Canis lupus familiaris: one gene and its partners. The protein of the gene in region 6 purifies or fractionates together with the protein of the main gene of each other region. This does not show direct contact. Links are inferred from orthologs where the notes say so. Each region holds a gene or a part of one and is shown on either strand. Other genes may lie near its edges.

Region 1 (4,913 bases), on a different chromosome or scaffold from region 6:
TTTTTTTTTTTTTTTTTTTAAAGTTTCTGTTGGTGTTTAAACAGGAGAGGTCACCGTGGTGGCCTCCAAAATGGACCAGTTACACTCACTCATTCTCTACTACACAGCCCCGGGTCCTAACCCTTCTCTACTGTGGGGATGTATCCGTGTCTCATGGTTACTTATTTCGGGCTTTATTTTTTGCATTTCAGTGACTTGCACTGTAAGTTATTTATGAAAGGAGTCAAATTCACATGTACTAGAGAAATACAGTCCCGGATGGTGCCAGTATTTCTGGCATCTGCCCCCTGACTTACTGTTTATCACGTTCCTCTCAACTTTTATATAAGAAACACAGGAACTGAATAAACCCAACAAATTACTTCTACTAACTTCATCCAAATGTGTCAAGTCAAAAATTCTTTGTAGTAATTCTGTTGGAATAACTTGTACAAGTAGAATGCCTGTGTCAGCTACTCATCTGACAAGGCTGTACTATCTCACTGCCATGTACGAGCAGATACGTCTTCAACAGGTTGTTGTTCCAAAGGTCCATCAGCCACATCTCTCTTTATCAGTAACCCCTATATTTATATCAAGCTTTTGCCCTTTCTGCTTATTAGCTTGAAAGGCTCCCAGGAAGTGGTTCCTTCTTATTCCCCTGGAAGGGGAATCATGACAACCCTTCACTGGATGTTGAGAGTACAAGTAACAAAAACAAAAACAAAAAAATTCCTGGACACACGTAAAAAGTCATTAAAATGTTGATCGCTTCTTTGAGGCAACCAGTGCAAGAACTCAAGCTCCACGAGGGGCCACATCATTTACCACGTGTGTCTCCTGTGTTAATAACCAACTTTGGTACACCAGGCTACAAGAAAAGCATCTTATAAACTGGAAGCTTTGCAACAATTTTCAAGCCATTAACAAGTCCATTAATTAAGTTCCAGAACAGTAAGAAAAACTTTTTCCAAGTACAAACGGTCTTCGGACTCCATACAGTGTAGTGTTTTGCCCTATAGGTCTGAATCTAACTACTCAAATTGCAAACAAAACAAACAAAAAAAAAAAATAGCCGTTGTTTGTAGATGTAACAGTTGTGGTTACATACATCACACAATGCATTACAGCAAAACTGGAAGGGAAAAAAAAATCATATTCCAAACAGGCAGGAAAGCACAAATTCAGAGCAAAAGTATAAACACACATGACATGCCTAACCACCCTGAGGCATATTTTGTTTCAGCCACCCCTTCTTCCACAGGTAAACGGTAACTGTTTCTGGAACCCTCAGTGATCATCTCGAAGCCTGCCTGCCATCAACTCCCATGATACGACCCAACACACACAGGTTTCATGGAGACAAAGCTGCCCTATTTCCCTAGACTATAAACTTATTAAAATGGTGAGAACACAGAGTCCCAGGAAATAAGGATTCACTAAAACACGCCAGGGTAGCACAGGTCTTATTTAGCAGAAAATGAAAATGAACCACACTGGGGGAGCCAAAAAGTCACTTGCTGTACCTTCAGTGTGTTAACCAGGATGTTTTTTATAATTTGCTTTAGTAGGAAGAGGAAAACACCACCAGGGCCTTGTATTATCCAATCTGATAAAGGAGTCTTTAGGAGAAAAAAAAAAAAAAAAAAAAAAAAAGGAGGAGAAAAATGATTACTTAATTACATGGGGGGGAGGGGGCAGGCAATTCAGACTAAAAATAACCCCGTCGTTCTCAGCCACCACGTTTTATTAACAGGCCCGTGGAGAACAGCACAGGGCTCCGGCGTGAGCGCCCGCGGCGAACTTCCCCCAAGTGGGCTGCGAATGACACTAGGTCCTAAACCACCGCTCACCTGGGTGCCTGCGCAGTGCAAGGTTTTAAGTATTAAGTAAACTCCAGACATCGGGGTGGGGGGAGGGGGGAGACGGAAAAAAATCATCTCGTTCTTAAGTAGGTCCCAACCTCGGTCCACTCACAATCACCAAGGGGTCTCTTGAGGGCGCGTTACCCGGGAGCCTGGCGCAAGAGACCTCGGAGCAGGGTACCGGGAGCCCGGCCACCCCTCGAGGCCGCACGAAGCCCCCCACGCGCGCCCCGAGCCCTGCGGAGACGCCCCTTCGCACCGCACGACCCAAGGGCGAGCCGCCGCGGCCGCTGGGGGGGCAGGCCTCGTGCCGGAGCCGGACCTGTCAACACGCGCACGGGCTCCCGAGCCGCCCGGGGACCGCGATGCCGCGTCAGTCACAAAGTCCGCCGGGGCCCGAACGCCAGGAAGGAAGGAAACGCGCGGGCCGCGAGGAGGAAGTTCCCCAGCGCGTCCCGAGGACCCGCCGCCCGACGCTCACCGGGGCCGCCGCAACTTCGCCGGGGCCGCGCTCCCAGCCCAACTTCCCGGCCCGGCCCGGCCCGGCCCGGCCTCGCCTCCTCGCGCCAGCCCCGGCGCCCGCTGCACGCACGCGGCCCCGCGCCCGCCCCCGCCCCCGCCCCCGCCCTCCCCCCGCGCCCCGGGCGCGCCCTCCCGCCCCTCCCCCGCCCCCGCCCCCCGCGCCCTCCCCCCGCGCCCGCGGCCGCCGGCACAGCGCCCCTGCGAACCGAGGAACGTGCACCCGAGAGCTCCCTCCTCGGCTAAAAATAGGCTCCCGGGAGTCGGCCTCATGATGGCTCCCGCACCGGCTCTGCCGCACAGGCTCCCCGAAGGCCTCCCCCGCCGCCCCGCGCCCGCGCCCGCCCCGCACACACACTCACACACGCGCACACACGCGCACACACGCGCACACGCGCAGGAGGGGCCCGTGCGCGGGGGAGGGGCGCGGGCGGCCGGGGACCCCCAGGCCGGCGGGGGCGGGCGCGGGGCGGGGCGCGGGCCCCGGGGTCGCTCCGGCCGGCGGGGGAGGGGGCTCCCGGGCCGCGCGCGCCCCTCCCCGCCCCTCCCCGCCCCCTCCCCTCCCCGCGCCCCCCCGCCCGCCCGCCCGCCCCCGCGCTTACCTGGGACGCCGGCCTCCGACGCCGCTCCCCCTCCCGGGAACCGAGGCGCACGGAAAGTCCCCTCCTGGCCGCCGCCGCCGCCGCCAGCCGCCCCCAAAATAACCCCTCGGGGTGCGCGGCGCTGCGAGCCCCGGCGGGCGCGGGCGGGCGGGGGCGCGGGGCCGGGGGGGCGGGGCGGGGGCTCCCGCCGCGGGGGAGGGGCGGGGCGCGGGGCGCGGGCGCGGGCGGGGGCGCGGGGAGCCGGGCGAGGGTGGGCGCCGTCACCGAGGGAGAGAGCCCAACGGCTCGGAGCAGCCCACGGCCCGGCGCTCGGCCCCGCGGAGCGGGCGGGGACCAGCCAGGCACAAATGAGCTCGCGAGGCCCCGGCGGCGGCGGCCGCTCAGCAAAACAAACCCGAGCGGCCTGCGCCGGGCGGGCGCGCGGGGGAGGGGCCGGCGGGGCCGGGAGCGGAGGGGGAGGGGCGCCGCGGACGGGGGAGGGGAGGGGAGGGCGACGGGGAGGGGGCGGCCCGCCGCGCCGCGCTCGCTCGCGCCCGCCCGCCCCGCCCGCCCCTCCGCCGACGCTGGGGGCTGGGGCTGGGGCTGGGGCTGGGGCTGGGGCTGGGGCTGGGGGCGCGCCGCCGAGTCCTGCACGAATAAAGACCCGCAGGCGCCGCGAGGCTCCCCCGGCCTGGCCCGCCCCGCCCCCGCCGCCGCGGCCCGCTGCGGGGCCGATGGGTGCGGGCCGGCTGCGGGGCGGAGGGGGAGGGGATGCAGGCCGGTTACGGAGCCGATGGGTGAGGGCCGGGGGTGCGGGGCCAATGGGGGGGGAGGGTGCGGGCCGGCTGCGGGGCCAATGGGTGCGGGGCGGGGGGGGGGGGCGGAGGGGGAGGGAGGATACAGGCCAGTTGTGGGGCTAATGGGTGCGGGGCGGGAGGGGGTGCAAGGGGGTGCGGGGCCAATGGATGCGGGCCGGGTACAGGGCCAATGGGTGTGGGGCAAGGGGGCGAGGTGGGGGGTGCACGGCCGGCTGCGGGGCCAGTGGGGTGCGGGGCCGAGGGGGCGGGGGTCTGTGACCCGTTGCGGGGCCAATGGGTGCGGGGTGGGGGGTGGGGATGCGGCCAGCTGCGGGGCCAAGGGGTGCGCGGCCGGCTGTGGGGCCAGTGGGTGCGGGACCGATAGGTGCGGACCGTGAGGTGCGCAGGTGGCTGCGGGGCCAATGGGGTGCAGGCGGGGGGATGCGGGGGGATGCGCGGGGTGCGGGCCTCCGGCTGCACGGCCAGCTGCGGGGCGGGGGGTGCGGGGGTGCGTGGCCCGCCTGGAGACCAGGCTAGTTAGGTGGGCAGGCCCGCGGCGCCCTGGCTGCGGGGCTCCGGGCCGGAGGTGCGGGCCCCGGGCGCACCTGCAGGGCGGCGGAGCAGCGCTGGTCACGAGGGGAGCCGGGCCGCGGGGTGTGGGGCGCACGCTAGGGCCTGGCCTTGCCCCCTAAGCGCCCGGCGGGGCCTGCAGGGTTCGTGCCCAGGTGTCCTGGGAGCCGACGTGCTGGGGTTCATCGTCCGGGGGGTCTGTGCGGTTCTCCGGTCACCGAACTAAAACCATGTCCCCGAGTGTGTAGGGCCCTATGCCCCCGCGGCCCTGCTGGAGGAGCGCGCCCGGGCTCGCCCCAGAGGACCCGTCCCGGGGCGGCGAGGCAAGGGGAGCAGCGCTTCACAAGGCCTACGGGCCAGTGTCAGGCCCTCAGCAAGCGGGCCTCGGGGGTCTTAGGGGGTCTTAGGCCTTTGCATCAGCCTAGGACCCTTTTAAGATTTGACCTCAAAGAGACCTTTTTGTTGCTCCGTTTTGTTTCTGTTATTGCTGTTTTCAAAATAAAATATCTTTCGCAGCCTTTTTAGGCGAGGGCTTCTGTCGTCATGCCTTCAACATAGTATTTGAAATAGGTGGATTCTCCACATTAAAGCGCGGCCTCTTC
Region 2 (3,869 bases), on a different chromosome or scaffold from region 6:
TGTTAAGGAGAATTCTAAAACAGTTTAGGAAATCATGCATATGCATTTACAGTCCATGTGATAGTAACTTTTGGCAACTGCAAAGTGACTGAGACATGGCTTGCTTTAGAAGCATCAAAACGAAGAGGCATGTGTGTTTTGGAGCCTTTTGTTGTTCTTCTTGTCATTTGGTAGCCGTCTGGTGGTGCTTCGTACTGAATTGGGAAAGATGCTGCACTCAACTGAACTCAAAAATTAAATTCTTTTGTTTGAAGGTTGGCTGTTGGGTCAAAGTTGTAAGTACCTCCTTGTGTTGCTTCGGGAATGAGGCTAGGATCTTCATCAATCTATAAAAAAGCACACAAAAAATATCCTTATTATGTTAAGATACTAGATGTGGTATAAGCAAATCTTTCTTCTTATGAGAGAATTCTTTACAAATGTTGTAATCATTCTTTCTTCTTTTTGAAGATTTTATTTATTTGACAGAAAGAGTTTCAGAACATGAGCAGGGAGGGGGGGGTAGGAGAGGAGAGGGATAGGCAGGCTCCCCAGGGAGAGGAGAGGGATAGGCAGGGGCCACACATAGGGCTTGAGCCCAGGACCCAGAGATCATGACCTGAGCCGAAGGCAGACACTTAACCAACTGAGCCTCCCAGGTGCTCCTGTTGTAATTATTCTCTATGTTTCAATCAATAAATAAAAACAAGTAAATCAATAATAATATTAATAAATTTAACTTTTTTTTTGAGGATTTATTTTAGAGAGAGAGAGAGAGAGAGAAAGAGAGAGAGAGAGTGGGTATGAGTGGGGGGAGTGGCAGAGGGGGAGAGAATCTCCAGCAGACTCCCTGCTGACTGTGGAGCCCAACATGGGGGTTCAATCTCACGACCCTGAGATCAGGACCTGAGCCCAAATCAAGAGTCCAAGAGTTGGATACTCAACCAACTGAGCCATCCAAGTCCCCCCAGTAATTTAACAATTTAATTAAACTGAACACATATAAAAATTGCTCCATTCTTTTTTTTTTTTTTTTTACCTCCTCCCTCATCCATGCCTCATTCTTAAGTTTCTGTATCTGTAGATTTATTTTACTCATCTCAACACACATCATTTCTATAATTACAGTTGACCCTTAAACGACACAGGAGCTAGGGAAACCAATCTCCTCCCCAAAGCAGAGTCCAAAATCCAAGTATAACTCCTGACTCCCAAAACTTAACTATTAATAGCCTACTGTTGACCGGAAGCCTTACCAATAATATAAACAGTTAACATATTTTGTACATTATATGTATTAAATACTGTATTTATTTTTAGAGATTTTATTTATTTATTCATGAGACAGACAGAGAGGCAGAGACACAGGTAGAGGGAGAAGCAGGCTCCATGCAGGGAGCCCGATGCGGGACTTGATCCTGGGGCTCTAGGATCACGCCCTGGGCTGAAGGCAGGTGCTAAACCGCTGAGCCACCCAGAGATCCCCAATACTGTATTTTTAAAAGATTTTTAATTTATTTATTCATGAGAGAGACAGAGAGAGAGGCAGAGACACAAGCAGAGGGAGAAGCAGGCTCCTTGTAGGGAACCTGATGTGGGACTCGATCCCAGGACCCTGGGATCACGACCGGAGGTGAAGGCAGACGCTCAACTGCTGAGCCACCCAGGTGTCCCTAAATACTATATTCTTATAATGAAGTAAGCTAGAGAAAAGAAAATGTTACTAATCATAAGAAATAGAAAATACATTTTTTGGAAAAGATTCTATTTATTTGAGAGAGAGACAGAGAACACAAATGGGGGGAAGGGCCAGGGAGAGATACAAGCAGACACCCTGCTGAGTCGGGAGCCCCACATGGGGCTCAATCCTGGGACCCTGACATTATGACTTGAGCCAGTCAGACGCTTAACTGATTGAGCCATCCAGGAGCTCCAGAAAATACGTTTATAGTACTGTACTGTGTGTGTGTGTATACACACCTATATTTGATATATATATATTTTACATACATATACCTGTATTTGATATATATATTTTTTACATACACACACACACCCTATTTGATTATTTGATAGTTTGGTAATTATATATATATATATAAAATTATATATTATATAATAATATATATAATATATATTATATATTATAATATAATAATTATATATATATATATATATATATATATATATATATATATATATATATATATATAATTCTACCTATAAGTAGGCCTTTGCAGTTCAAACACTTGTTGCTCAGGAGTCAACTGTAGTATTTCTTCCCATTTAACAGATTAAAAAAATTTTTTTTTCTTATTGCATTTGTAAAGTAATCTCTATGCCCAAGGTGTGGCTCAAACTCACAACCCTAAGATTAAGAGTCTCATGCTTTACTGAATGAGCCAGCAGGTGCCCCTTCAAAGAACTGTTTTTATATTTTTACTTTATAATGATGTTACATACACAGTATTTAAACAAATGATTGATGGAAAATAATCATTAATTTTTTTAGATTAAAAATAACTGGAAATGCCACTTCAAGAGTATCTGATAGAAATATATTATAAAATTGTCCTATTAATGATAAAAGGAAAATTCTTAGTAAATTTAGAGTATGTACATTTTTTTTTTTTAATTTTTTTATTTATTTATGATAGTCACAGAGAGAGAGAGAGGTGCAGAGACACAGGCAGAGGGAGAAGCAGGCTCCCTGCACCAGGAGCCCGATGTGGGATTCAATCCCGGGTCTACCAGGATCGTGCCCTGGGCCAAAGGCAGGCGCCAAACCGCTGCGCCACCCAGGGATCCCCCAGAGTATGTACATATTTTAATGTACATGCAGGCATACCATACTTTAATGTATACTTACATCATCACCAGAGAAATATTGATCTATGATTTCAAAAGCTAATTTATATATGTCTTCATTTTCATGTTGCTGTAAAACTTCGATTTTCTCCAAACCTGGTAATAAAAACGAACAAAATCAGATTCTTAGGCATATACACATATAAAAACTGTGTTCATACTAACAATGGAAAATCTGAAAGAACTCAGAATACCTTCCCACCATTACCCAAAGATGAGTTTTCTAAAAAACAGATAAAACCCTGGGCTGCTCTGGTTGAGGACGAGCATCTCACGAATTTCTTCCTCTTAGAAACCCTTGAGGTACCCTGGTATCTGAGGCAGACAGTTAAAAAAATCCACCTAAACGCTCTATTTGACAGATGAGGAAGCTATGATCCAGAGATGTAAGGGGTTTACTTCGGGTTGTGTGGCAAGTTAGTGATTGAACTTGAACCAAGGCCTCCCCAGACCGTTTTAATGGAAGCACATTATCTTGTATAAGTAGTTTTTAATGTTTCCATTGTTTTCCAAATGTTATTACTTTTATAAAACAAGTTTTCAGAAACTTCATGATTAACTGATATAAACAGAAGACAAAGCTTTAAATTTGAAGTAATTTCTTTCAAGAAAAAATCAAATAGGGTGCTTATATCCTATAGCCACAATGAAATTGGGAAACAACTTTTCACAACTGTAGAATGCCTTCATTTCTGTTCCCAATATATTTACTCGATGCATTAGATGCACAAGTCTATAAATTTAAATTCTTAACAGTACTCTTCCTTGAAATATCTTTTTAGCTAGGTAAGTTTGAAATAGTTGCATTTTTTCTTTATATAGTAATATAAAAACCAGAAAAATGGGAATATAAGTATCAAAGATAATGGATGTAAAGTTCTTTATAAAATTATAAAATACTAAGTAAATGTGTATCCTAATTATAAGTATACACTCCCAAAGACCAAAGCAACTACAATGATAAAAAGCCAAAGACTAACAATTCTGCAGCTTAAACCTTCTGGGGGTAATTGTTCTGAATT
Region 3 (5,148 bases), on a different chromosome or scaffold from region 6:
ACATTGGTCCGGGTTTTCAGAAGTCTGTTTTGGGGCCTGTTCAGAGTCAAAACTGCCCTGGGACTAAGTCTTGCCTCTCACCTCCAGTGATTCCACTCCATTCTGTCACAAAAAAGAGCAAGTGAAAAATCCTCTGCCCTTCCTTTAACTTCTTTTTGTTTACTTAGGCGGTAGGCGGCTGAAATGCCCCACCGGGGAGGCCCTGCCTCACTGTCCCTCGCTAGTCCTGGGTTAGCTCAGTGGCTTTGTGAATGTTAAGAAGGGCAGAGGCCTCGGAGGATTGAGATGTTTTTCTATATATTAGAACTATTTTTTGATAAATTATATATATTTTACTTCCTGGTTGAAGTGCTCCTGCCTGTGTATGACCAGCATTGCAGCCTTGTCTGCATTCTGTGTATCCATACGTTTTAGCTAAGGGCCACAGCAGGGCTCACACCTGACAGGTGCTCCCAAGGCCTACTGTGAGGGCCGAGACTTCCCTGGGACACTGGGATTTCAATCACTGGGCCCCAGAGCGAGGTAGTGCCAGAGCCAGCACAGGCAGGGCCCTCCTACCCTCCCACCTTCCTAACTTTTATTTAAGCTGTGCTAAATGTTTTCTTCACAGGAACCACATTTGGTTCTTCATACAGATTTTTCCAGTGAAATAAAATGTGTTGTAGTAGCTGTGTTTGAGATGAAGTAAGAGGCTGCGGGCAGAGGGGAGGCACGGAGGGAGGTGGAGGAAAGGCCCTTGGCCTTTGCGGGGGACATCAGCAGGCAGGCCCAGGCTGCCAGCTGCCAGGCATCCATGGGTGGGGGAACAGCTGGGCGGTCGCTGGGCCACTCCCAGAGGTCGGCCATGTAGGCCACCGGTGGGGCATCCTTTGAGGAGATACAGTAGTTGTTTCTCAGCTCCTAGGATGGAACTGGAGCATCTTGGTATCCTGCCCTTCTGCCCTTGTGTGGTATTAAACTTGCCCGCTCTTGACTTTTTATTTCATGGTTTTATTTATATTTAACAACATTGCTTATTTGACCTACAGAACTAGCGCTTTCTTTTTTCATACGTGTGTCCTATACCGTTTCCTGTGTGTACCTACTTTTACTCACAAAACGATCTGGAAGTTTGTCTTCTAGGTTTTATCATTAACATTTTTAAAAATATATTTTATTCATTTATTCATGAGACACAGAGAGAGGCAGAGACACAGGCAGAGGGAGAAGCAGGCTGCACCCAGGGAGCCAGATGTGGGACTCAATCCTGGGACTGCTGGATCAGGCCCTGAGCCAAAGGCAAGATGCTCAACCGCTGAGCCACCCAGGCGTCCCTGTCATTAATATTCTTAAAGTATTTTTAAAACTACATGTTCCTTATGTTCTAATTCGGGATGGTGTAGAACAGTCCAACGATAACTGACTTAAGTTTCTTTGAATGTCTATACAATGGTTTTTGATTTCCTTGTTAGAGTAAACACAGGGAGGATGAGGATTAGCTGCGCCTTGGTCTGGGCCCCTGGGATAGGGACCGGTCAAGGCGGAGTTGGGGCGCTGCACCGAGGCTGTCAGGCTGGGGGTGGGGGGAGTCTCGGGCTGGGCTCCAGGGGTAGGGACGGGTCAGGGCGGAGTGGGGGGGCTGCACTGAGGCTGTCAGGCTGCGGGGGGTCTCAGGCTGGGCTCCGGGGTAGGGACGGCTCAGGGCGGAGGTGGGGGGGGCTGCACCGAGGCTGTCAGGCTGCGGGGGGCGGGGGTCTCCGGCTGGGCCCCGGGGGTAGGATCGGTCGGTCGGTCCGTCCCAGGTGTCTGCACTGTCCGCCGGGCCGAGCAAGATGGGCAGAGCCGGCGCAGCTCCGACGGCCAGGCTGGCGAAGGAGCCGCTGGCAGCCGCTGAGCGCGGCACGCACAGACCGACCCCGGACCCCGCGAACCACTGCAGCCGCAGATGCCCGCCCGGACGCCGGAAGCCGGGCGACAGCACTTCCGGGGGGCGGCTCCCGGGACGCTGATTGGTGGTTGCGCCGCTCGCCGTCGGCCCCTTCCTGCCATGCGTACGCACCGGCCCCGCAGAGCCGTAGCATGGCGGACCCAGAGGCGGTGGGCTTCGAGCACATGGGCCTCGACCCACGGCTGCTGCAGGTACCGGGAGGGACGAGCTGCCGGGCCCACGAGCCTGGGGGCGGGGCGCCGCCTGAGCCGCGCGTCGTGTCTTCTAGGCCGTCGCCGACCTGGGCTGGTCGCGACCCACGCTGATCCAGGAGAAGGCCATCCCGCTGGCCCTGGAGGGGAAGGACCTGCTGGCCCGGGCGCGCACCGGCTCGGGGAAGACGGCCGCCTACGCCATTCCTGCGCTGCAGCTGCTGCTCCAGCGGAAGGCGGTCGGTGGGGGCGGGGCGCTCCTGGGGCGACCGGGGGGAGGGACGGGGGGCTCCGGGGCCCCCGAAGGCCGCCCCGGGGTGCGGTGTGTGTGCTCCGCGCTCTGGCCCTGCTCCGGGCGCCGCGGCCGCGACGTGAGCGCTGCCCTGTGTTTTCCGGCTGTAAAGGGCGGACACGCCCCCTCTCGGAGCGTGAGCCGCACCCCCGAGCGCTCCCGCTGCAGTCCGTGCATCCCCGGGTCGCCGCCGAGCCGTGCCCCCTGACGGGCGGTGCTGGGGGAGGGGCCCTCTGTTCCACCCTTCGTTCCGTTCTGGGCTGCGCGGAGGTGAGCGAGGGACTGGTCAGAGCACAGCCAGGGTGGTGGAGCGGAAGACCCCGCGGTTGGGTCAGGTGGCCCTGAGGTCGCTGGCTGGCTGGCTGAAGTCTGTCGTTGGTGCTCTTGCAGACAGGCTTTGCGGTGGAGCAGGCTGTAAGAGGGCTTGTCCTGGTGCCCACCAAAGAGCTGGCACGGCAGGCCCGATCCATGATTCAGCAGCTGGCTTCCTACTGCGCTCGAGACATCCGGGTGGCTGATGTCTCAGCTGCTGAAGACTCAGCCTCTCAGCGGTGGGTGAGAGCCACAGAGCCCTAGAGGGATGACCTGCACGGGGATGCGGGATGGGGATGCGGGATCAGGTTTGCTGGGTTCCGTGCAGCAGGAGGCGCGGCCAGCCTGCGGTGGTGGTGGGGGCATGAGTTGCTGTCTGCTTCCCAACACGGAGGTGTCTGCTGCTTGCAGAGCTGTGCTGATGGAGAAGCCTGACATCGTGGTGGGGACCCCGTCTCGCATTTTAAACCACCTGCAGCAGGATAGTTTGGTCCTGCGAGACTCCCTGGAGCTGCTGGTGCTGGACGAGGCTGACCTTCTTTTCTCCTTTGGCTTTGAGGAAGAACTCAAAGGTCTTCTTTGGTAAGGAAGAGGTGTGTGGGGCTGTGAGTAGACACCAGGGCCTAGGGCTGGGATCTGACAGGCTGTTTTTTTTCTAGTCACTTGCCTCGGATTTACCAGGCTTTTTTGATGTCAGCTACTTTTAACGAGGATGTGCAAGCACTCAAGGAGCTGGTGCTTCATAATCCGGTAAGGGCACTGTGGGAGCATCTGGAGCCACTGGCCTGTGATTGTTAACTTTCCAAGGAGTTCTTTGGTATTTCGGGTGGGGTAGTTGCTCATGTTTTGGAGGTTCTGGAAACTGGTGGCCATCTACAGTGCCGTCTTCTTACGGTCACTGCGTATTTGCAGATATTTGTAGGTAGTGGTTCAAACAATGCTTCTTTACATAAAGGCCTGAATTGGGACCCTCAAGAGTCAGAAAGGCTGCTTTGAGCAGCACAGTCAGAGCTCTCGCTGTACGTGAGCTTGAGTCCTGAGAGATTGCTGCCTTGGGGCTCTCCTCCTCACTGCAGTTGCTTATCATGTGTTTCTTTCTGTTCTGGGCCCCCAGCATGTTGTAACTGTACATTCTCTGTACACCACAGTCAGGGTACATTGAGTCCTCACATCACCTGGTCGGAGGGGACACCAGGTGCTCTGCCCTCGCACGTTTGTGCCCTGGCTTGGACCAGCAGCTGGCAGTTCTGTTTTTTCCTCTTCCCTGACCTCGGGGCACCTACCTCCTGTAGGTCACTCTCAAGCTGCAGGAGTCCCAGCTGCCCGGGCCAGACCAGTTGCGGCAGTTCCAGGTGGTCTGCGAGACAGAGGAAGACAAGTTCCTGTTGCTGTACGCCTTGCTCAAGCTGTCGTTGATTCGTGGCAAGTGCCTGCTCTTTGTCAACACCCTGGAGCGGAGCTATCGGTTGCGCCTCTTCCTGGAGCAGTTCAGCATCCCGGCGTGCGTGCTCAACGGAGAGCTCCCACTGTGTTCCAGGTTTGTCCGCTCTGGCGCTTTGGCTGAGAAGCACTGAAGCAGGGGACTGAGAAGGAGAGACACGGGGGCTGCTCCTGTGTCTAAAGTGGGAGGTAGAGCCCAGCCTGTGGGTTGGGCTTGAGTGCTTCTCATTGGCTTTCTGTGTCACAGCTCTGAGATTCCTGCTGTCACATTGTCTTCAGCTGAGGCGCTGAGGCCTAAAGGTGAAGCAGGAGCAGAGCTGGAAAAGGAAGAGTCAGAATACAGTCGTGATGATGTTGGGGGTCGGAGGGCCCTTCAGCTGGCTTTGGGGGCTGATCCTTTCTCTGCTCTTGGGCTGTAGGTGCCACATTATTTCACAGTTCAACCAGGGTTTCTATGACTGTGTCATAGCGACTGATGCTGAAGTCCTGGGATCCCTAGTCAAGGGCAGGCGTCGGGGCCGAGGATCCCGGGGGACCAGGTGAGTGCTGGTGTTTCCCTTTCGTGGTGCACTGCAGGGAGACCTGTTTTCTCAGCCTTTCAGAAGGTGGTGAAACCAGTGTCCTGAGCAAGGAGTCTGGTGCTGGGGCCTGGCTGCTGACCATGGCCCACGGAGCCCTCGCTCTGTTGCCAGGGTCTAGAGGATAGTGAAGGGTGTGCATGCATGCGCTCTGGGGCAGTGGGAAGGGCCAAGTGTAGTAGATTGTTGGTGAACCGTCCTGCACGTGCAGCTCTGACCCACAAGGAGGAAGGTTTCCCAAGGGATCGGGAGTTCCAGTCTCTGCCTAGCAGGCCGTCTGGCCAGGAATGGATCTGGGGTTGTCTCGTGTGCAGTGGGTTCTGCTCCCCCCCCAGCACTGGCATCAGGGCAATCATTTGGCCACCCTTGTTCAATGGTTACTAAGTGGCCCGGGTTTCAGGGTTCCAA
Region 4 (4,941 bases), on a different chromosome or scaffold from region 6:
TGCAAGCCCCTTTGGCCCCTGACCCTCTGCTCCTATCTTCGCACGCATCACAGGAACGGCTCTTTTCTTCCCTAAACCCCATCACGCCAGGAGCGTGTCCACAGTCATCAGCTCGGACCCTCCCCAAACTCCTTTCTTCCTCCCGGAATTTTGCAGACAGCCGCCACTCAGGCTTTGTGATGCTTCCTATCAGCTGCCCCCAGGACCGACCTTCTGCTCCTGCAGGCTCGTGCTCCCACCCAACACTCAACACCAGCGTTCCCGGGGGCACTTCTCTCTCCACACTCACGTCCTGGGTGACTTCGCATGGATCTAGGAGCACAGACGTCTCCAGGCCAGAGCGCTCATAAACCTCCCCTTGCACGTCTGCGCGGATGTCTGACCCACACTTTGGATCCCTCCTCCTCCTCCGGCCTCCCCTGCCCCCCTGTGGACAGATGGCCACCCTGCTGTCGCAGGTGCTCCGGGCCACCCGCCCTGTGAGAAGACCTACGAGCTCTTCCTCTCAAGCACTCCACTCTCCAGCACCGCAGATGTGTAACTCGGTGCATCACCTTCAAGCGGTCTGCTCCCCCCAAGGGCCGCTCGGCGGCATGAGGCTCAACTTGGAAGGCCTAAGGACAGAACTCATGCCCTGCGGCAGCCCTGCAGCAGCCAGCTGGCCCGCACATCCGCCCGACCCAGCCCTGGTACTCTCCCTCCGCCACCCTGCTCCACTGCCCGGGTCTTAATGGCTGTCGTGCTCCCAGGGCCTGAACAGAACCCAGACACGTCAATCACTGCACGAGCGCAGCTACTCTAATCTTCTTCTCAGCTTAAAAAACGTGGGTGAGGGGGTATCTGGGGGCTCCGTCGGTTAAGCACCTGACTCTTGGTTTCAGCTCAGGTCATGATCTCGTGGGATCAAGCCCCACGTCCATGCTGAGCACGGAGCCTGCTGCAGATTCTCTCGTGCTTCTTCCCAGGTAACTTCTAGGGTTCTCACCCTTTCCCCAAAAGCTTTCGCGTGTTCAAGCGGCCTCTAGCGAGCACCTGTGGCATGCCAGGCCGGTTGACTAGCACAATCTCCGCTCTTATTTTAAGCACACCTGTAATGGTTTAAAGGAGGGATCCCTGGGTGGCACAGCAGTTTGGCGCCTGCCTTTGGCCCAGGGCGCGATCCTGGAGACCCGGGATCGAATCCCACATCGGGCTCCCGGTGCATGGAGCCTGCTTCTCTCTCTGCCTCTCTCTCTCTCCCTCTCTCTCTGTGTGATTATCATAAATTAAAAAAAAAAAAATTTAAAGGAACTCGTCCCCTCTGCCTTAACCTAGCTTTGCGGGCCATCTTGGGACAGTGGCAAATGCAGGCTCGCCCCCTGTACTGCTGACCTGCCCTCACACCACCCTGCAGCGGTGTGACCTGCACAGCGACCCCACACGCAGTGCCTGCCCTCGCTTTCTCCGGCTCCGTCAACGGGCAAACTTGACTACGCCGGGAAGGCTTCAACTGTTTTAGCTTAATGCACAGACTGTAGCCCCCCTCCCCCCCCCGCCCCCAGACCACAAAGAGGCCCATGCGGAGCCGAGCATGATCAGTGGCGGACCTCGCACCACGGACACGACCTGAGACCACGGGAGAAAGAGCCTTGCCAACAGGGAGGGAGGAAGGTCACGCCCGCTGGCAGGCCGCCAGGCGCAGTGCAGGCTCTGGGAGAGCTGAGCTGGTTGGAGGGAAGGCCTGCAGCACGGCTCCGGACCCCCGTACGTGGGCTCTGGCTGTGGGACAGAAATCCAAACACCTGCGCTCTGTGCCCAGCTTTGCCACCAACTCAGGAAGTGTGACGGGTGTGCATGTCGGGGAAGTACCTGAACCGGCTGCAGACACCGGTGACCTGAACGCTCACGCTCACACCATTTACTACAGGGTCCCTGGGGCACTTACATCCAACTTGGGGAAGTCCATTAGAATCTGCGACAGTCGGTCATGGTAATTCTGCTGAGTGAATTTGACCTTCCTCATGTAAAAATGTCTAATGCGGTGGATTTGGTAATGTTTGTGGACGACCGTCGGAGTCTTGCGTTGAGTCTTCGACAAGGTCAGGTCGATAAAGTCCTGCAACCAAATCAGACACAGCAGGTACAGCAGAAGTGTCTGCTTCTTACCTGTTCATCTGAAACCCTCTTAGAAGACCAACGGTACCGTGTGTGGAACTACGGTTTTCTAACTATATCTTTAATTTCTTATATTCAACTCCGTTCGCGTTCATAGTTTCAAGCCTATAAAAAACCACTTAGCAGCTGGCTGCCAGGACCAGTCCCGCCCTTAACCTCTCCAGGCCGTCTTCCCAGCAAGGCTCCTCCCCCTGCAGTCCGGTGCCTGAAGCGTAAGTCAGAGAAAAACACTCGGAGGGAAAACAAGTCCTGCAGTTTCAGTTCGCAGGTCTTTGTGGAAACACGGACGTCAGTAAGACTGACACCCGCTCGGTGGTCTCCCAGATCGCAGCGGCCGCGAGGACACAGGGTCTCGCCTGAAGCGCCCCCGCGGTCAGGCCGGGACGGGGTCCTGCTGGAGCCGGCACGGCCCTCCCCCCCCGCCTCCCCGTGGCCCGCCGGGCGGGGCCGAGGGACCCTACCGCACCTCCCGTCCTCTGGGGGGAGGGCCCTGCGCACAGGACCCAGGCTGACCCGGCCCTGGAGACGACCCCCGAGCCCAGGGGGGGCCTGACCCCGAGGGAGGAACGTGACCCCCGAGCGGGGACCAGGACCCTAGGGAGGGACCCGTGGCCCCGAGAGGGGACCCAGGACCTCGAGGTGGGGGAGCCCTGACCCCGAGGGGGGGGACCAGGAGCCCGCGACCCGAAGGAGGGACCCAGGACCCCGAGGGAGGAACCCCCGACCCGAGGGAGGCCCCTCCGCGTCCCCGGGGCCCCGCTAAGCCAGGCGGCCCTAGTCCGGAGACTACGTGGCGTAAGAGCGGTGGGCGCTGGAGGTGACCCCGTGCCCCCGAGGCGCAGGCCCAGCCCGCCCCGCCCCTCCGCCGCCTACCTTGGCGGACGGCACCACCGTGATCTTCTTGAAGTTGTAGTGCGCCATGCCGGCTGCCAGCCACGCGGGACGGTGGGGGCGGGACTTCCGCCGGATGCGCGTCACTTCCGGGCGCTCCGGCGTCCTCGGGCACGGCTTCCGGGTGTCACGGCGCCCCCTCCCGGCCGGAGGTCCCAGGGGGCGGAGGGCGGGTGGACCGGGGCGGGGCGGACAGGCCTGCGGGGCGGGGACCCGGAGCTCGGGGTCCTCGGGGGACGTGGTGTCTGGGGGTCACGGGCCCGGGAACTGGGGAGCCCGGAGGACTCGGGGGTCGGGGCGTCGGGGCGCCGGGGTGTCGGCGGGGAATCCGATGGGGAGCGAGGCGGAGGCCGCGGTCAGCAGGGGCGGGCGGGGGCGGGGATAAGCCCTGGGGCCCGCGTCCGCGCAGCGCCTTCGCCCGCTGGGCGCCCCGACCCCCGTGACCCTGCCGTGAGGTTCCGGCTGCCCTGCGGGACCCCGCCCCCGGGCGCGCCGGCCCAGCTCTCCCCGCAGCCCCGCCCGCTCGGCCCGACCCGGCGCCCCAGGCCGGCGTCTCCCCGTCGCACGCGTTCGCCGTCACTCGTGACCTGCCCGCGTGCGGGACTCCGGGGCGTCTCGGCCTCCCGGCCCGCGAGAGGATGCGCGATCGCCGACCCCGACCCCCGGCCCCCGACCCCTGACCCCCAGGACTCCGGAGCCCAGAGCGCGTGGCTCCGACGGGGCGCCCGGGGCGCAGGGACAGGCGGACGGGGACGGTAGGGCGGCGGCGAGCGGCGGGGCCTCGGCTCCCCGCACATACCCCCGCGCCACGCCCCGCACCGCCTCCCCTCCCCCTCCCGCCTCACACCCGCCCCCCCCGCACCGCCTCACACCTCACACCTCGCCCCCCGCCCCGCACCGCCTCCCCTCCCCGTCCCGCCTCACACCCCGCCCCCCCGCACCGCCTCCCCTCCCCCTCCCGCCTCACACCCCGCCCCCCCCCGCACCGCCTCTCCCCTCCCCCGCCCGCCTCACACCCCGCCCCTCCGCACCGCCTCCCCTCCCCCTCCCGCCTCACACCCCGCCCCCCCGCACCGCCTCTCCCCTCCCCCTCCCGCCTCACACCCCGCCCCCCCGCACCGCCTCTCCCCTCCCTCTCCCGCCTCATACCCCGCCCCCCCGCACCGCCTCACCCCTCCCCCTCCCGCCTCACACCTCGCCCCCCGCACCGCCTCCCCTCCCCCTCCCGCTTCACACCCCGCCCCCCCCGCACCGCCTCTCCCCTCCCTCTCCCGCCTCATACCCCGCCCCCCCCCGCACCGCCTCACCCCTCCCCCTCCCGCCTCACACCCCGCCCCCTCGCACCGCCTCTCCCCTCCCCCTCCCGCCTCACACCTCGCCCCCCGCACCGCTTCCCCTCCCCCTCCCGCCTCACACCCCGCCCCCCCGCACCGCCTCACACCTCACACCTCGCCCCCCCCCGCACCGCCTCACCCCTCCCCCTCCCGCCTCACACCCCGCCCCCCCGCACCGCCTCCCCATCCCGCCTCACGCCCCGCCCCCCTGCACTGCCCTCCGACCCCCGCAGCGCCTCCCCCTCCCCCTCCTGCCTCATACTCCAGTCCCCGCACGGCCGCCCCCTCCCTCCTCACACCCCGCCCCGCCCCCCCCCGCACCGCCTCCCCTCCCCCGTCCCGCCTCACGCCCCGCCCTCTGCACCGCCTCCCGACCCCCGTAGCGCCTCCCCCTCCCCCTCCTGCCTCATACTCCGATCCCCGCACGGCCGCCCCCCCCCACATCCCGCCGCCCCGCACCGTCTCCCCCCTCCCCCATCCCGCCTCACACCCCGCCCCCCTGCACCGCCTCCCGACCCCCGCAGCGCCTCCCTCTCCCCGCCTCACATTCCCCCCACCCCTC
Region 5 (4,405 bases), on a different chromosome or scaffold from region 6:
CGGGATTGTGGGTTTGAGCCCCATGATGAGTCTGGGGATTGCTTAAAAATAAAATCTTAAACAAAAGAATTAAGCCACTATAATAGGGTGAGGACTTTTTTCTGAGCTTCAGAAGCATAAAATTAAAATGCCTGCGTGATAATTCCACCAGATATTTCATGGGTATGTAATGCTCAAAATGTCCAAACATAATTTATTACTTGCCTTTCTTCAATTAAACTATTTATTCTACTGTATTCTTACTTGATGATAATAAACAACTTGAAATCTGAGAGAAAACCTAATAAGTTCCCCTTAATACTCTATCATCAAATCTGTTCAAAAACCTGTAAGACTATCCATTCCTTGAATCCTGTCATCATTTATTGTGGCCCCTTATCACTATATACTTTCCTAACTGGTTCCTGCCTCTTTCTCCAATGGTCCCATTTCCCTGATATCCTTGCTCCATTTAAACATACCAATCCCTCAGATAAAATCTTTAAATGATTTGTAATACCCTGAGGCAGAATTCATTGGGAGTGTTTATAAGATACAGATTCTTGGCCTTACCTACAGTGATGAAGGCAAGGCTCAGATCTGTATTTTAATATATAAAAATTACATTTTTAATAATTAAAATGTTTACATGGGAAAAAACAGTAAAAACTTTTAAAGTATATTAACTATTTACTGGTACTCAACTTCCTAATTAGGTTCTCTATTCTCCATCTCCTATTCCTAACTTGATAGTTATGAATTATTTTCTGTTGCTCTATTTGTTACTTCAGTAACTTTAAAAATACTTCTTTCTTTCAAGCCTCTGAACTCCTCCATTAAGCAAATTGAAGATATGGTCCTCCTACTCTTAAGTTACTTCTCCTTTCATTTACTTCTCCACATCTGTCAGAAATCCTTTCCTTTTATGCTTATCCAGGTTGGTAACATTTACATTTTGTTCCACAGCTACAATTGAAACTACCATGTTCTATCTACATGGTTAATTCTAAAAGCTGAAAGTTAAGACATGCTATTTACATTCTGGGTGGCCCTGGCACAGAATCAGATTTGGGAACTATGGCCTTACAGAATAAAGAATCTGCTGTGCTACAAAGCTTGTAAGACGGCAGGGGCCTGGTTACTGGCTGTATCTCCAGCCTCATCTTTAGGCAGTGTCTACCCCATACTTTGTGATTCAGCAACACTGAACTACTTATAATTTGCTGAATGCTAGATCTCACCTCAGACTTTGCTCATGGTGTCTCTGCCTGGAACACCTTTCATCCCTTTTTACTTTATTAATCCTTATTCATCTCTCAAAATCCAGCTCAGGTGTCACTTCCTGCTTCTTCCAGGATGGATAAGGTATTTCATTTTGTTGTACATTTCTATTAGGGTAATTAGCACATTAAATCAGTTCATATTTATCTCCATGACTAGACTACATGCCTTGAGGGCAAGGACTGTGTCTTGTTTACCACTGTTTTCCCAGTACCTTAGCACAGTGCCTATTTCAAATACAGGGCAGCAATTCAGTTACCTAAGCATATGCAAGAAGCTGAGCAGGACTGTACATATAGAATATAGTATTTACTTTATTCTGTTACTTGATAATCTAAGACAGAAAATACAGAGGTGCTACATTAGTCAGAAAATAAAAAGTAGTTACAAAAAGAACATTAAAACTGTGAAATAATAGCTTGTAATACACTTGCCTCCACATTCTTCTATAAGATTGGCTATGGTTTCCGCCTCATCTTCAGCCATTTTTAATATATTACTTAGTCCATCAAGTACTACTTGCACAACCTGTGCATCTTTTACAGTCAGCAAGTTGCAAAAAGGTGGAATAACATTTTGCTGGATTAGATAGGCCACCTGAAGAATAAAAACACCATGATATAATAAACATCAGTGAACTGTGCGCACCATATGATCACACTGAAATAATTTTGACTTTAAAGTTTTGAGTATAGAAACATGACCTCATTTTTCACGTTATGTTAGACTACATTAGATAATTTTATTATTTTCTTGTTAGATTATTTTACTATGAGATTCCTTCCTTTAATGTAATGTTTACTTTTCTTGAACTTCGGAAAAAACAAGTGATAATGAAGGAATCACTTAACCTCATGCAAAACATCTGCCATAAGGAATACTTTCTTCAAAGATGCTTTCCTCCCCTTTAAGATTAAGAAATTATGACATCTGTAGAGGCTGGATGATAAGGGAACCATTTTTTAAGGGAACCATTTTTTTAAGGGAACCATTGTTCAACATAATAGTATCCAATGTGAGAATGCTGTATCATTTAGAATCCTCAAATACCTGGCTACTTTCAATTCACTATTCAACTGGTTCTATAATATTTTCATAATATTTTTCTTTCATTTTTATATTTTGTTATATTGTCATTTCCATGTACTATATATTTATATTCTGCTCTCTATTCATATTTAAGTGGATTCATTGCTCACCATCAGTCTATAGCTTATTTGTGACAATTATCAGCTTATTGTTTATTAGCTCTAAATTCACTCTTTTTACCTTATCTGTGAAATTTACCTGGAATCTTTTATTTATTTTTATTTTTTTTAAGATTTTATTTATTTATCCGTGAGTGACAGAGAGAGAGAGAGAGAGAGAGAGAGAGGGAGGGAGAGAGAGGGGCAGAGACACAGGCAGAGGGAGAAGCAGGCTCCATGCAGGGAGCTTGACGCGGAACTCGATCCCAGGACCCCAGGATCAGGCCCTGGGCTGAAGGTGGCGCTAAACCACTGAGCCACCAGGGCTGCTCTAGTTCCAGCCTTTTGGTTTACATTAGTTCCTTGCTTTGTTTGCTGCTGGTAAATTTTTGTTGTTTATGTTCATTTGTTATGAGAATCTGTGATGTTGTTTCATTCTATTAAGCTAAAAAGTCCTGTTTTTTTCCCTAATACTGTTAAAAACCAAATATATTTTGACTACATATGTTTTGATCTTACCATGGATTAGAAAATTTTTGTAGGCCAAGATGGTATAAAGAGAACACTTCTCATCTATGAAATGTAACCTAAGAAGTCAAGGTAACACTTTTATATGGGGGGGCGGGGCGGGAATCACAGAATGCCTATTATCTTGCTATTATTTTAAATTATGATTTAACTGAAATCTAAATCTTAGAATTTAGAATTTTTATGTATGTTATTTTACCAGTTCTGAGAAATAAGTAAGAGTTGAACTTACTTGATCTTTCCTCCCACTAATTGTTAAGTTACTTATGGCCCAAGCAGCTTCTTTCTGGGTGCCAAAATCCCCCTGTAAAAGCAAAGAATACAAATTGCAACACAGTGTAAACAGGGGAAAAAATGCTGTCTGAAATGATTTTCAACTGCTTATTTTCCCAAGTTTTTTCTAACCTTTCTATGTGCATACATAATTTTTTACTTAAGGAAGGTTTCTGAATTCAATTTACCCTAAACAAATGTAGACTCCCCTTTGCAAACTCTCCTGGCAACAAAGTGACTTGGTATTACTGTTCAATTAAATCAGATTAAATGAAGTCAGTGATAAAATAAAAGTAGTCCAAAACCCAAAAAGGGGGTGGGGGAAGGAGAATGTACACTTCACTTTAATCAAAGAAATGTAACCTTTTAAACACAAAGTTTTAAAAATGTCCACCATTAATAAGATGATATAATAAAAACATCACCCTCCTATATTACCTTTCAAATATAAACTGAAAAAGTACACTTAAAATCATTTAAAATCATATATGATTTAGTAATTTATTTAGTAATACATTTAATAATCATGAGGTTCTCAAAGTAATATTTAATAATCATATGAGGTTCTCAAATAATATATGAGAATCTTTAAGAATTTACCAAGAAAATAATTTAAAACAAAGTAATATTTTCTTTCCTTCTAGATATTATCGTAGTACTACATACTAGTCAAAAAGTAAAAGCAAGTAGAATTCTCAGCAGTGGAATAAATGACTAATTATGATGAATCTGCTGAATGGAATAATAACCAGTTGTTAAATACAAATTAGACTAGTAACCTGGGAAAATGCTTATAATTAAGAAAAAACTTATATGAGGAATAAAAATCAATATTGCAGTGTGATATCTATTTTTATATATCAGACTGATACAATGTAAATATCTATCAGTGAGACTGGCAGGATTGTAAAATGGTACAATCCTTATGGAGGGAGATGGTATTATACGGCTAAATTTACATAAAGTCTATCTGCACATCCAATAATCCCAAATATAAACTGGTAAAATATTGAAAATATGCACCTTGAAAATAAGGTGCATATTTTTTTTTACTTGGAGACCATATAGTGCTTTATATAAACAAAAACCCTAAACAAACAAAAAATACTAAAGTAATTCCCCCATATAATAAATAACCCAACTGTGTATCAAGTTGG
Region 6 (5,145 bases):
TTGCAATCCGCTCTGTGTAAAGTCAGCTAACTCTCTCGGTCACGGGCGTCCGGCTGTCCACAGGCTCCTCTCTGTTTGGCCTTGGCATGGAGGATGAAACAATGTCTTTGCGCTCTCCCTCCCCTCGGTGTTTGTACTTGTCTGCGGCCGTGGCGGCGGTCGCGACCGTGGGCTGAGTCTTAGCTGGCTCCTTGGGGCAGCCGTCGCTCTCCAGCGAGCCTCCTCTCGCCATCTTCTCCTCTTTGCAGACGCCGCTGCTCAAGTCCTGGGGCTCAGGGGGGCTGGCGGGGTCCTCGGAGCTCTGGGGCTCAGGTGGGGGAGGGGGCGGGGGCGGAAGCAGCGGCGCGGGTGCCTTCGGGGGCTCTGAGTGGTGGTGATGGTGGTGGTGCTCCTTCTTGGGGGGTGAGGAGGCGCTGCTGCTGCGCCCCTTCGGGCTGCTCTCCTTGCTTTTCCGTCCGGGGCTCTTGCAGGTCTTCAGTCCCTTTCCACTCTTCTCGCCGAGGGTGGACACCAGCAGGGGCTTCACCACCTCCTTCACCTCAATGCTGACCGTCTCCCGAGTCTTGCGCTTCTTGATGGGGAGCACAGTCTCCTGCACGGACCGGATGGAAGACTCCTTCACGGCTTTCTTTTTGGCCTCTGCGGCGGCAGCTGCCACCACACTGCCTGGCTTTCGGCCCCGCTTCTTGGGAATGGCCTGGGGGTCAGCCTCGGCTTTTCGCTTCCGGCCTGGGCGTTTGATAACCATGACCTGGGCTGACGTGGTGGCCCCGCCCCCTTCAGCCTTGCTCCCGGGCGAAGCTTGAAAAGGCATCTTGACGAGCAGCTTCCCGGGACTTTTCTCCAGGACCCTTTTCACCTGCACACCCTCTGATGTTGCTGCCTTGGGTCTCGCAGTGCCGCTCCCTTTGGGGCGTCCCCGACCTCTGCCAGTTCCTGGAGCTTTGGGAGATTTGGGCTTCTTAGGTGGTTTCTGCTCTCGCCGGGAGGGGCTCCCTCTCCCAGTTACCGTGAAGTCAAAATCATTAGGGTCCAGGGAGGTGTCGCCTACCTTTTCGAAGTACGCAATCAACTCCACTTTAGAGCGAAAGGCTTTTCCCTGGGGACTGTGGGAACAAATGGAGAGACACAAAGAACGATTAGAAGCTTCCCCGCTAATGTACAAAGATGGGGCAGGAAGAATGTGCTGAATTCTGTGACAGGACGTTCTGCAATTGACCTGCCTGATGATACTATTCAATGAGAGTCACATTAGAGAAAAGCCAAAATGGGCTGAAATTAGAGGGGCATGGTCACACACAAAGCAACTGGGTTGCTGGGCGGCGGAGAGCACCCACAGGGTGTGCTCCAGTGACAAGAACAGCTGGGTGTCAGCTGCTCTGCAGCTATTGCCCCTGAGGATCCGCCTACCACCAAGGCCCCTCCTCTGGCTCCCAAAGGGGCCTGGCCTGGAGACCCGCTTGAGCCAGAAGGCTGAGGGGCAGGCATTCTGCTGGTTGGTGCCTGGGCCCAGTCAGTAAGTAAAGCACTCCTCTCTGTCTGAACCTGGGCATGCTGCTTAGCCTCTCTGGGATCGGTTTCCTCATCTGTCAGTAGGATAATGCTTTTTGTTCACCCTTCTCAGAGTTGTTGCGATCAAATGAGGATGTCTGCAAATAAACTGTTTATCTTTTCTGGATCATCTAAGGGCCAGAACTGAAATGTATTTATTCAGTCCTTCTCTGAAGCTCTGGCTTGGGAATTACACTGTTTCTTTTTTTTTTTTTTTTTTTTTTTTTTTTTTAAATTTTTATTTATTTATGATAGTCACACAGAGAGAGAGAGAGAGGCAGAGACATAGGCAGAGGGAGAAGCAGGCTCCATGCACTGAGAGCCCAACGTGGGATTCGATCCCGGGTCTCCAAGATCGCGCCCTCTGCCAAAGGCAGGCGCCAAACCGCTGCGCCACCCAGGGATCCCTGAATTACACTGTTTCAATAGAAAATGCCCAATGACCAGCTCAAAGCTGGACAAATGCACCAATGACAGTTGGAAAGGCACATGAAGAGACACCAATGTGTCCCCAGAGGCCCTGTCAGAGAGCTCACCTTTCCCAACATGATTCAGAGAGTAGACTGAGCCCTCTGAACTCCTACTTCTTCTGGGTCATGCAGCCAAGTCACGGAATGACTGACAGAAAGAAGAGTTGTTTAACAGGTTCTGAGAAGAGCCCATCAGCTGGATGTTTCCCAGCTGGGAAATGAGAGGAACCCAGAGAGCCCTGCTTGCCTTCCAAGCACAGGCCACTACACATGGCAGGTCCTGTGGCCTCTGGGACCAGCCTGGGCAGGGCCTTGTGTCCTCAATGTTTCTCAGGCGACCTCTCTTTCTTGTGTCCTCACTGTGGCCCTGGGTAGGCCCTACTGCGATGCCATCTCCAGACAAGACCTCAAGGGCTGGTGGGGTAAAGTCACACTCAGGGCGGTGAACTCTGTACACAGTCATTTGAAACATACCTGGAGGGGTCTGCAAGTGGTGTTCATTATTGAAGCCACCCCCAGCCCAAGATGGGTGATATACACACATTTTCCTGATCATCGAGTAAAAAAAGAGCTGCCACTCTAAGGGATCCCCATTAGTTTCTCAGCACCTGGCCCCAGCCTCCTGCCCACCCAGCCTTCCCTGCTTTGTAGAGACAGGAGTTGCCCTTACTTACTTGATCAAATACACATCATACTTCCCAGCGGAGCGGCCAGATTTCCTTTGTTTAAGCTTTCGGGTCCAACCTTCAGGCAGAGTGGGGTCGTCATACATGGGTCCCCGGTCACGAATGATAGAGCGTCGCTGTTTGGGGGAGGCAGAAGCTTCCGGGACAGCTGGGGCTGAGCCTGACCCTTCTGAGGTCTCCGCTTTGCCTGCCTCTGCTGGTTCAGCAGAGTGGTGAGCCGGTGGCTGCAGGGGCTCATGCTTGCCCTCTTTGTCTTCTTTCTTCTCTTTCTTCACCTTTTTAAATTTCAGGGGTTTGTCCTTGAGGCCCTGGAGATCCTGGTCTTCTGACTTTTCTTCCCTGAAGTGTTAAATAAGTATGTAAGTATCACAGGGAACACACCGATTTGTAGAAAAAGTAAGCAATGGCGGGTTTGGGGCACCCCAGCACAGGCAGGGCTCTGAGAGACAGGGCTGCCCCACCGATGCTCACCCAGATCCTGATGCCTTTCTCCTTCAAAGATTTCTTTGGGGGCTTTGGGCTTTACCCTACCTGCACTGTGACCACTCTGAGTCCTTCTGTCCCAAGTCCCACTCCTAACAAGCAGGAGAATGAGCGGCATTTTTCTGGGTAGAAACACTAGGTGGCTTCTCAGTGTACTGCCTCGGAAGAGGCCACTTTACAAGCTGTGCCCAACAGTCTCTAGACTTCATGGCTGACAAGAGGCCCTTGACTACTGGAGAGGGAGCTGCCCACCCAAAATGTGGCCAGGGCTCCTCTTCACGAAAGACCTGGCTTGGGTGTTAGTATAGCTTCTGTATTGTAAGTTTTCTCAAATGTGTGCTTGATAAAACAGTCAGGGAGCACGATGCAACTTACTGATGGTGGCAGAGCCTAGCACTACCCCCTTGGGAGATAAGGCACAGCACAGTGCTGTGGAGAAAACACACAGGTTTGGAGCCAGCCCAACCTGAGCTCAAATTCTGACTTGGCAACTTCTAAACATGGACCTGAGCAAGTGACCTCAACATTCCGTGCCTTAGTTTCCTCATCTTGGTAATAGGCACCAACACCCCAGAGGAAGAAAAGTCACAAAAGCACCATATAAACACTAGCCAACTCGGGCAACCAGAAACTGCTGCCCAGGGTTCTGGAGTGAGGAGAAGGCACCCCAGGTCTGCTAAACTTTTATTATCAGACATTCCTTTACAAGCCATGACTGCCTTACACTCAACCAGTAGAAGGGGAGAGCAAGGACAAAGGCACAGAAGAGCACCCTCCCCACTCCAGGGTGGGCACCTCCTTATGCTTTCACACTGACAGAGCAGCTCCTTCCTGCTATTTTGGCTCCACCTGGTAGGGTCCCTTCCTTGTGTGCACTGGAAAGGCCCTGGACCCTGGAATCAGTCCGCCCGTGGTGTTCTTAAAGCAGGGCTAAGAGGGCAGGAACACCACCCACGCTGGGGAGGCTTGGAACCAGCCATCTGCTGGTCTCTCAGCAATTCAGTCTAGAAGAGAATGAGACTATTCCTGCCCTTGATATCTAAGCCCTAGAGCTGCCCTGTCCCATGTGGCTCGTGTCAGCACTGGTCACTGCCTCATGGCCAGTCTACCCCAAGCAACCCCCTTGTTCACACTGTGGAGACTCCAATGGAGGCACTGTGGTATGTACTGGAAACCAGACTCAAATGATGTCAGTAAGCTGCCAAAGGTGGGTTAGTATCAGGACTCTTGGCACCATGAGAACATGCCTTTTCTGAACAGCTCAGGTCAGGGGTTGGGAGACAGGCTTGTCCCTGAGTTCCTCCCTATCCTGGGTCATCCTTTAGCAGCTCAGGACTCTAAAGCATGGCTGCCATGGTGACCCTGATTTAGCCCACGGCCCACAGGAGATCTTCTCTTGCTGTAAAGTGAGGGTCTCTAATCTGTTGCAGCACAGAGCTTAGTTTTCAATTATCACAGTCTTATTAGCCTTTCAGCAGGAATTGAGGAAGAATCCTGAGAAGCTTGGTGTGGCCTATAGCCTGTAGTCCCCCAACACAGAGGGGAGAAGGGGAGCTTGCCAGCAGCAGAGTGGCAGATGAACTGGAATGACCACTCCCACACAGTCCACGGGCCACCGCTGAAGGCCAGGGCTACTCCCTGGAACCTGGATAGTCCTGGAGTCGGCAGACAACACTGCACCCATGGGAAAGGTTTGGTTTCTCCAGAACACTCATTTATATTCCCCAAATAGTTTAACCATCCATGAGGTCAAGTACAAACCACATATCCCAGGAATGCCTCTTAGATACAATCAAGGGTGTCGATGCCATCAAGGTCAATCCCTTCTAGAACTCTACCCTAAAAAGACACACCCCCAGAAATGCCAAACAGTTAAGTCTATGATATTATTTGTTAACGGCATCATTTTTCCTGACCCAGTACTGCATACAACTCATAGAGCTACCAACAAAGAC

What was found.
Region 1: the proteins of MECP2 (region 6) and TBL1XR1 purify together in Homo sapiens (co-immunoprecipitation; 3 studies listed by BioGRID and IntAct, with this or other methods). This does not show direct contact. The link is inferred for Canis lupus familiaris from reciprocal best matches to the Homo sapiens genes MECP2 and TBL1XR1.
Region 2: the proteins of MECP2 (region 6) and KPNA3 purify together in Homo sapiens (affinity purification with mass spectrometry; 3 studies listed by BioGRID and IntAct, counting the BioPlex papers as one, with this or other methods). This does not show direct contact. The link is inferred for Canis lupus familiaris from reciprocal best matches to the Homo sapiens genes MECP2 and KPNA3.
Region 3: the proteins of MECP2 (region 6) and DDX56 purify together in Homo sapiens (affinity purification with mass spectrometry; 3 studies listed by BioGRID and IntAct, with this or other methods). This does not show direct contact. The link is inferred for Canis lupus familiaris from reciprocal best matches to the Homo sapiens genes MECP2 and DDX56.
Region 4: the proteins of MECP2 (region 6) and GTPBP4 purify together in Homo sapiens (affinity purification with mass spectrometry; 3 studies listed by BioGRID and IntAct, counting the BioPlex papers as one, with this or other methods). This does not show direct contact. The link is inferred for Canis lupus familiaris from reciprocal best matches to the Homo sapiens genes MECP2 and GTPBP4.
Region 5: the proteins of MECP2 (region 6) and KPNA4 purify together in Homo sapiens (affinity purification with mass spectrometry; 3 studies listed by BioGRID and IntAct, counting the BioPlex papers as one, with this or other methods). This does not show direct contact. The link is inferred for Canis lupus familiaris from reciprocal best matches to the Homo sapiens genes MECP2 and KPNA4.

The regions. Positions count from the first base shown.
Region 1 is NC_049255.1:40,989,311-40,994,223, forward strand, and holds the start of TBL1XR1 (F-box-like/WD repeat-containing protein TBL1XR1), read right to left. Parts: upstream 3,060-4,913; 5' UTR 2,966-3,059; intron 2,345-2,965; exon of another isoform or gene 2,326-2,344; intron 1-2,325. UniProt on the Homo sapiens protein: F-box-like protein involved in the recruitment of the ubiquitin/19S proteasome complex to nuclear receptor-regulated transcription units. Plays an essential role in transcription activation mediated by nuclear receptors.
Region 2 is NC_049243.1:2,071,582-2,075,450, reverse strand, and holds part of KPNA3 (importin subunit alpha-4), read right to left. Parts: intron 2,944-3,869; coding exon 2,849-2,943; intron 327-2,848; coding exon 228-326; 3' UTR 1-227. UniProt on the Homo sapiens protein: Functions in nuclear protein import as an adapter protein for nuclear receptor KPNB1. Binds specifically and directly to substrates containing either a simple or bipartite NLS motif.
Region 3 is NC_049237.1:14,117,553-14,122,700, forward strand, and holds the start of DDX56 (probable ATP-dependent RNA helicase DDX56), read left to right. Parts: upstream 1-1,957; 5' UTR 1,958-2,058; coding exon 2,059-2,118; intron 2,119-2,195; coding exon 2,196-2,357; intron 2,358-2,800; coding exon 2,801-2,961; intron 2,962-3,133; coding exon 3,134-3,304; intron 3,305-3,381; coding exon 3,382-3,472; intron 3,473-4,014; coding exon 4,015-4,259; intron 4,260-4,581; coding exon 4,582-4,701; intron 4,702-5,148. UniProt on the Homo sapiens protein: Nucleolar RNA helicase that plays a role in various biological processes including innate immunity, ribosome biogenesis or nucleolus organization. Plays an essential role in maintaining nucleolar integrity in planarian stem cells.
Region 4 is NC_049223.1:33,007,907-33,012,847, forward strand, and holds the start of GTPBP4 (nucleolar GTP-binding protein 1), read right to left. Parts: upstream 3,185-4,941; 5' UTR 3,076-3,184; coding exon 3,028-3,075; intron 2,096-3,027; coding exon 1,925-2,095; intron 1-1,924. UniProt on the Homo sapiens protein: Involved in the biogenesis of the 60S ribosomal subunit. Acts as a TP53 repressor, preventing TP53 stabilization and cell cycle arrest.
Region 5 is NC_049255.1:26,745,829-26,750,233, forward strand, and holds part of KPNA4 (importin subunit alpha-3), read right to left. Parts: intron 3,280-4,405; coding exon 3,208-3,279; intron 1,858-3,207; coding exon 1,695-1,857; intron 1-1,694. UniProt on the Homo sapiens protein: Functions in nuclear protein import as an adapter protein for nuclear receptor KPNB1. Binds specifically and directly to substrates containing either a simple or bipartite NLS motif.
Region 6 is NC_049260.1:123,060,516-123,065,660, forward strand, and holds the start of MECP2 (methyl-CpG-binding protein 2), read right to left. Parts: upstream 3,047-5,145; 5' UTR 2,794-3,046; coding exon 2,696-2,793; intron 1,107-2,695; coding exon 23-1,106; 3' UTR 1-22. UniProt on the Homo sapiens protein: Chromosomal protein that binds to methylated DNA. It can bind specifically to a single methyl-CpG pair. It is not influenced by sequences flanking the methyl-CpGs.